Linked DNA regions of Caenorhabditis elegans. The protein of the gene in region 1 purifies or fractionates together with the protein of each later gene. This does not show direct contact. Each region holds a gene or a part of one and is shown on either strand. Other genes may lie near its edges.

What was found.
Region 2: the proteins of lfi-1 (region 1) and aman-3 fractionate together in Caenorhabditis elegans (co-fractionation; one large-scale study listed by BioGRID). This does not show direct contact.

The regions. Positions count from the first base shown.
Region 1 is NC_003284.9:4,979,351-4,983,105, reverse strand, and holds the start of lfi-1 (Rootletin-like coiled-coil domain-containing protein), read right to left. Parts: upstream 1,867-3,755; 5' UTR 1,611-1,866; intron 1-1,610. Other genes in the region: ZC8.6 (Phosphatidylinositol 4-kinase type 2), read left to right, coding at 3,512-3,715.
Region 2 is NC_003279.8:5,323,445-5,327,199, reverse strand, and holds the start of aman-3 (Alpha-mannosidase), read right to left. Parts: upstream 1,645-3,755; 5' UTR 1,635-1,644; coding exon 1,515-1,634; intron 1,462-1,514; coding exon 1,306-1,461; intron 1,258-1,305; coding exon 1,140-1,257; intron 1,090-1,139; coding exon 921-1,089; intron 785-920; coding exon 657-784; intron 605-656; coding exon 527-604; intron 483-526; coding exon 209-482; intron 104-208; coding exon 17-103; intron 1-16.

The DNA of each region.
Region 1 (3,755 bases):
AGGGCATGTTGCCAGAGAGAGCTAGAAAGCGAGAAAAGATGCGCGCTCTGGATGTTTTGAGTAGATCGAATTTCAAAAAAGAAAGTCGTGAAGAGTGTGAGCATTCGGTAGGTCGGAGGTCTTGTAAACACGTATTTTGTTTGCATGTTTCATTTGTTCGCCCCCCCTCCCATCCAATTTTTGACAAATATATACATGTACATATAAAAATGAGGCGGGAAGATTGAGCAGGAGAGAGAGAGGGCGCGCGGGTAAGCTGGAATCGTTATTTGTCGCATAGCAACCGGGGGAAGAGTCCAATAGAGTAAAGGTATGTACACTAGTCATGTGAATTTTGAAGTTGAAAATTTAGCTACTAGGAATTTTTAGTAGAGGAAAAGGCAGTGTCGAAAACAATCGAGAACACAAATTCTTCAATTGTTTTTGTTTTTCGAAAAATATTGAGCACACATTATTTTATTGCTCCAGTGACTAGTGACTATTGCATTTCCTATTTACCAAGTATAGTAAATATGACTTAAACAAGAGCTTCCTTGGAGTTTTCCACCGATTTCGAAGAGGAAAAAAAAGAGAAGGAAGGGTGGACAATTGCGACTTTTTTGCTGAGCGGGCTCGCGCGGATGGCCTGCTCTTTTTTTTTCATTCCCCTTTCTAGGCAAGAGGTAAACAAGTAAACAGAGTGTGAGCCAGAGAGATGGAGAAGAGCGAGTGGAGCACGACGACGACGACATCAACATTGCCCATCGCCACGGGCCACGCCTTCTTTGGAGTGGGGCGCGCGTACTCTGGTGGCTTGAGCCATCGATCTGGGAGGGCGCCCTCTCTGTGTTGTTGTCGACAACAACAAACGACCAGAACGAAATACGGAAGAGGGGAAGAAGACGACGTTGGCCGATCGTTGTGCTCCAGCAAGGACAAGACCGCGGTTGAGCCGTGCTCTCTCTCTCTCTCTCTCTCTCTCTCTCTCTCTCTCTCTCTCTCTCTCTCTCTCTTTCTCACTTCAATTCTGGGAAACTGCCTAATGATGGCTGCTATCTTTTTGAAAAGTTGCGTAAGAATGGTGGATGAGTAGTGGGAAGTTGTTTGGAAGTAGAGCTTGACTGAGTACTTATACGAACATCGTATACTTTTTCCTAGATTTAATTCCCTAAAAAAGTATAAATTTTGAGGAAACAACATTAGTTTTGAAAGACGGTCTCACACATAATCCTCTACACTCACTTCACACTTTTTGAATTTCGAAACAAAAAACATCGCGATAGTAAGGCGAACTGTTATTTTAACCCCCTTTGATTCCGCAACAAGCTTTTTGTTGATAAGGTGATGGAAATACCCTTATCTACTTCTCCACCCACTAACATTTGAACAAGAAAATTGCCGAAACAACACATATTATGTTTTTTCCTACTCACAGGGGACCGAATGTCGCCTAAAACATGGAACTCAAATTCTCTTTCGATTTATTTCTAGCGTTGAACGAGAAAATGAAAGAGGGAGAGAAAATGTGCCGACCTTCACGTTAGGAAAATAAGCTGCTGCCAAGCTGGATGATATATATGCATATGTCAATTCATTGGGGGGACCATGAATCAATTTTAGGAAAACCTTACCGGATTTGTGTTTTAGAAAAGAATAGAAAGGGCAGGTGATTGGCTGAGCTGCGAGCACAATGAAGAGAAAGTTTCTACCCTCGTTAAACAGATGCCGTTCTTCTTCTTCTCTTCTCGTCTGCTTCAATCGTTCACGTGTCTTTTTTCGTTGTTCCGCCGCTGCTGATTCTATGTCTTTGTCAAGCTTGCGCGACCAGAAGACAAAAAAGGAGTTCGCCGGTTGGCGCGTGTATGTGCACCCTGTCACTATTGATTTCTGGAGAGAATGTTTGTTGCTTTGGTTCAAAGAGTTGTTGTTGGATGGTGTGTGTGTGTGTGTGTGTGTGGCGAGAATTGCAAAAAAGGATAGCCGACACACACTAAAAAAGGAGGACAACTGGCTTGAAAGTTTGATGGGCATGTCGTCCTTTGCCCGGCTGGCATCATGTCCAAAAAAGTGACACGGACCACATACACGCACCAAAAAACGACCATTGTCAAGATTTTCCCGGGGATTTGGCGTTGCAGGGGTTTTATGCCCGTTTTGGAAATTGTTTTCAAAAGTTGGAAAAAACGGGAAGACTGCAACTGAAAGGACCTCAAAGGTGGAATAGCGTCAGTGGGGATTTTATCTAAATTTTTTATAATCATTCAAACAAATCAGATATCATAATAAAACACCTTTTCAACGTTTTAGGCAAAGTTCCAAATTGAATAAAAAATCAGTTTCTACGGTATGCTAGAATGTTTAAACACAAATAATTAAAGTCCAATTAGAGTAGAAAATTAGAAGAAATATGTTGTTATTTTACAATGATATTTTGGCATTTTGGCACCACATGAGCAGCTTTAAACCACTGAAGCCAATCCACCTTTAAGACAAAAAGTTTATCCCAAATTACATCTGGTCTTCAAAAACAAACAATTTTTCGTGGCATTTTTCAAATCGAACAAACCTAAAAGAATTGAAGGAGACGAGAGAATACTGGCTCTGGTTGCTATTCTAGGAAAGGTGCTGCTGGTTCGCACCCCGATTCGCCCATTGACTTTAATAGAATTGCTCTCTCGCTCAGTGTTGCCAATGTTTCGCTCACTCCTATAATTGCTACTCTCTTGGTCCGAAGCAATTGTGAGCCGCCGGTTTCCTTTGCGCCGCGCTGACCGCCGCCACTCATCGTATTTTTTCACGACACTCATTTTCGATTCTCAGAAAACAACATAGTCAATGACTTTTCTCTGCTCTCGAAATGGCAGCCAATTGAAATTGGTGTCGATGAAGGGAAAAAAGGCTCTCTAGTAGAGCAAAATGTTGTTGAAAACGTGCACATAAGGGAGACGAAAATAAGGTTGTCAAAGAATGCGAATTAGAAATTAAGTCGGTCGAAGAGCAAAAATTGCGACGAAGAAAATGTGGCAAGAATTTTGTAACGATGCACATTTATCCCATTCTGATGTGAAAATGACTCAAACGTATTACTCAAAACAACGAAAAATCCGCAGATCTTCTTGGATTACAAACTGAATGATTTGCGAAGTGTAATGATTCCCTTTGGCATAAGTGTATGTGTATGTATGTTGCCGTTACCGGTTTTTCGGGTCAATGGACTTTGAAAGAACAACACATCGCGGGGGAAAGAAGGACGATGAAATAATATTCAACTCGATGATGCGCTGCTGTTGTTGGAGGGCCTAGGTTGTTGGTAGTGTTGGCGCATGAGTGCTTAGCGTACTACTGAAATAATTATGTGTAGTCGTCGTCCATTTTCCTGCCGTAGATGTGTCGATTTGGCTGGTTATATGGTTATACAGGCGGACTTGGAAGAGGGGTGTCAAGTACATACAAATCCCGAAGCATATAGAATGCATGATATACATAAATGTTTACAATTTGATAGCCAAGACTAACTGATTACTTTTTGCAGGGATACCTGTCAGAAGTTGGAGCTTCACTTGTGGATGAGAAGCTCAAGCTGGGAATCGTACCACCAACCGGGGTGGTTGAACTGGCGGCTCCAACTTTCTACTATGACCGTATTGACCGGGCGAAAGCACGGACGAAGGAGAGAATTCAATCAAGATATCCAAATATTGGAAGACGATTTCATCGAATTGGACTACCGGAAAAGGTGAGCAATTTTTTGTTGGAATTGTAGAAAGAAAAAGCGA
Region 2 (3,755 bases), on another chromosome or scaffold:
GCATATAAATAGTTACCGGAAGTCATCACCATGCATCATAAGAATCACCGGCGCCTTGTACATTTCGGACATTTTTTCAAGTTGGTTGACGAGTTTTTCAGCCCTGAAATAAGGTTTGTGTTACGTATCCTCTATTATACATACCGTATTTTCCCTATTTGCACTAAAAATTAACGATCGAAAAGCGTACTTGCAGCTGAATACTTACTTTGCAGCCACATTAGCATTCGTAATTTTTTCAGGCTTCGGCCCAGGACACGACCAATGTGTCATTCTCTTAAAATCAAATTCACAGCAGACCGAAGCATCGGAACCACACGAATTGAGAATGTCATAATGTGTATATGGTAGGATTTGGGTTAATACGTCATCTTCTCCAGTTGCATCAAAATATTGCCGCCATTTGAATGGAATTGCCTTTTGACTTTGCAATGTTTGCTTCAACTTGTGATGAATTCGGTTTATTACAGTTCTATGAACGCCTGAAGTAAAAAACAATTATCAGTAAATTTATAGATGTTCAAACCTGATTTTTTGAATAAATATGGAACGGAATTCGAGTACCCAAATGGATCATTTGACCACATTGTTTGGGGTTTGATACCTGAAAAATAGAAATTTGGAAGTTTAAGAATCCGGAGGATCATATGGTATACCAAAATTCTTATGGATGAATTGAAATCCTTCAACAATATTATCGACGGAAACTGGGAAATACGGATTTGCTTCATCCGTCATAACCCATGAGCCTGTTGCCAGTTCAAGACGACCTTCCGTAACTAATCTGAAATTTTCGGAATTTTTGGAAGTTAAACTCGCTCGATGTCTACAAGGTAGATTTACATATTTACATTATCTGATTCCAATCAATAATGTTAGTTTTTAAAAAGTTTCAATTTTTGTAGTAGGCACGAACTTACTTCTTGACGTCTTCCTTAACTTGCTCGTTTTGCAACGACCACCATCGTTCAAAAAACACAAATTCCGCCCACATAAATCTCATTTTCTCATTTTTCATCATAAACTGATGCATATTGTCCAAAATTTGATTCGTACTTTTTGTATATCTTTCGAATGTTTCGAGCCATCCTGGTTGCAAAATTAATCATAATTTAATAATTATCAACAAAAAAACCTACCAGGATCTACATGTGTAAATGGAAGCACATAAACTTTCAACTTCTCAGTTCTTGATTTCTTTGAAGCCGGTGGAAGTGTATTTCCTTTGGCAACAACTGACTCAAATAGGTCAAAAGTCTGTAAAAATTAAAAAGTAGTTTTTTCGATAATTTTTCTGATACTCACATTAAAATTGGTAGAAGACTCTGTGAGTGGTCGTTGGCAGACTTCATTTTTTGGTTCGAAAATATTTGGATTCTTTTGACTGTTTGATAGATTATTGGCTTCTTTTACAAAAGATCGCATGTTGACAACTCGTGAAATGTGAAGCTCATTATTATGCTGAAACAAAATATATTACAGATTCTTGCTCATTTGAAAAATTGTTCACAAACCTGTCCTAATCTTTGATGATATGCCAATAAAAATGTGAAGAGAATAGCAAAAAAATAAATAGAAACAGTTTTCGGATTGAGTAGTACTTTCCGTTTGGCTGATAACGCAAGTCGGTGCATTTTTTGTATGCTGAAAAAAAAACCAATATAGTTCTAGAAAGAATATAGTTGTTTTGAAAAGAGAAAGCATTCCACAAATTATGTGGGAAATTTAATAGGATTGAAATACAAAAGGAGGTAGCGTTTGGTTTGAACAGCTGAAATGGGGAAAAGGAGGTGAAAAAGTGTGTGCATTGAAGAGGACACATAAAATTATAGGATATGGTTGTTTTAGGAACATTTTATGAGTAGTAAAAGAATGCCAACTCACGGGCGGTTTTAACGCAGAAATAGCTGCTGCAAAAAAATCTCCATGGGATTGAACGTGAATTTATTTTTGCCCAATTTTTGTTCTCGTTTTTTATGTTTAAAAACTTTTTTTAGTTTTAGCAAACTATATATTTTTTTAAGTTATAAGAATTTTATATTCAAATTGTAATCAGTTGATATCAGTTTTGGCAATTTGATTTTTGACAATTTTAACCGAGTTTATCACAAATAGTTCAATTTTTAAGCTCAAAATTACTAAATTATGCCAAGTTTAATTTTTTAATTTTCAAAATTAAGTTACGTTTGAAAATAGTTATAAAAATAGAAAAAATAGAAAATAGAAAATAGTAGAAAATAGAATTAAAAAATACCAATAAAAGGAATTTGTTCAGTTTTGCAGTTGATAAAATATTGAGAAAAAAAACTTGCAGCGGATTTTGATGAGAAAAATGGTTCAGGAATAATTTTCAAAATAATTTGAAATATTTCTTTGGAGTTTTTGACCATCGGATTCAAGTTCTCTCCAAGTTTGGGCAAATCGGAGTCATCTGAAGTGAAAATCCCGAAAAATCAAATTTTGCTATGAAAAAAAAGCAAACCAGCTTCCCAAAATAAAACGAATATACAAAGCACACCAAAAAGTTTCGTGGCACACAGATTTTTATGAAATGTAAAATTCCGATAATGCTTTCATACAGTGATGCATTTTATTGGAAATATAATAGATGGAAACGAATGGAGAGAAGAGAAATATACACTCACATTGCCTTTGAATTTTTAGCTGTGAAAGCGAGACGGTTCGTCATTTTTTGTGAACTTTTTAAATATGATATATGGTGGATTATTGGTTTTGGAAGTTTTTTTGTAAGTTAATTTGTTAAAGTTTATATAACACAAATTAATTATGGAAATATTATAATCAATTCCTCGTTTTTAATCAGCGACAAAATTAATAAATATTTTTTTAATAGAAGATATTTTGCAAAATGTTTCAATCAATTACATAGAAGTAGCACAAATCAAAAATTCATGAATTTTTCCTTTCAATTTGAAAGAACGCCGGAAGCAAAAAAACCAAAGGGGTCGGTAATTTTTCTGAATACCCAAATAGAGAATAACTTAAAATTTAATACACTTTTGTTAGCAGAAAGTTTTGAAAGGTGGTGTAGACGAAATTGAGGCTATGTTTTAAAACATGATATATGTTTTGACAAAAAAAAATGTATAAGCGAAACACAAGCGGACGTATGTAGCTTCGAAATGTCGAACAAAATCACTGTTACCAATTTTAGTGGATTTTTCTAATGATTGTCACTGAATATTTAAAATAAATACGTTTCTAATAATCTGACAACTAAATGCCATCCTAATCGCTCCAAAAATTTTTAGATTTTCAAAAAAAAATTTGCCAGTTTTAGTAAATTGGCAAATCTACCAAACATGTATCAATGTTCCATCTTACAACTTTTAAAAAGAATATTAAATACTGTACTTAGAAAACAATTTTTTCGGCATGTACTCATTTGAATCTCATCAACACATTCATGAGTTTTTTCAACAAAAATTTTAAAAAATCAACTTTTAGTAATATTAACAATATAAATTTTATTTTGTGAATAAGACAAATATATAGAGAAACAATTAAATGCGAATAACTAATTACGGGATTTACGATTTGAACTAGCACTTTTGTTCTTATTTGACCTGGTTGCTACAAGCCAAAAAAACGGGGAAATTGGAAAACACGATGCACAGAGAAAAAAGGGATGAAAAAGAGAAAAGGGATTAAATATATTGTTGTGAATAATAATTTTCCATTGGATATTGAACTTTCACATTCGAAGAACAAAAAAACATTTGGAAGCCTAGCAA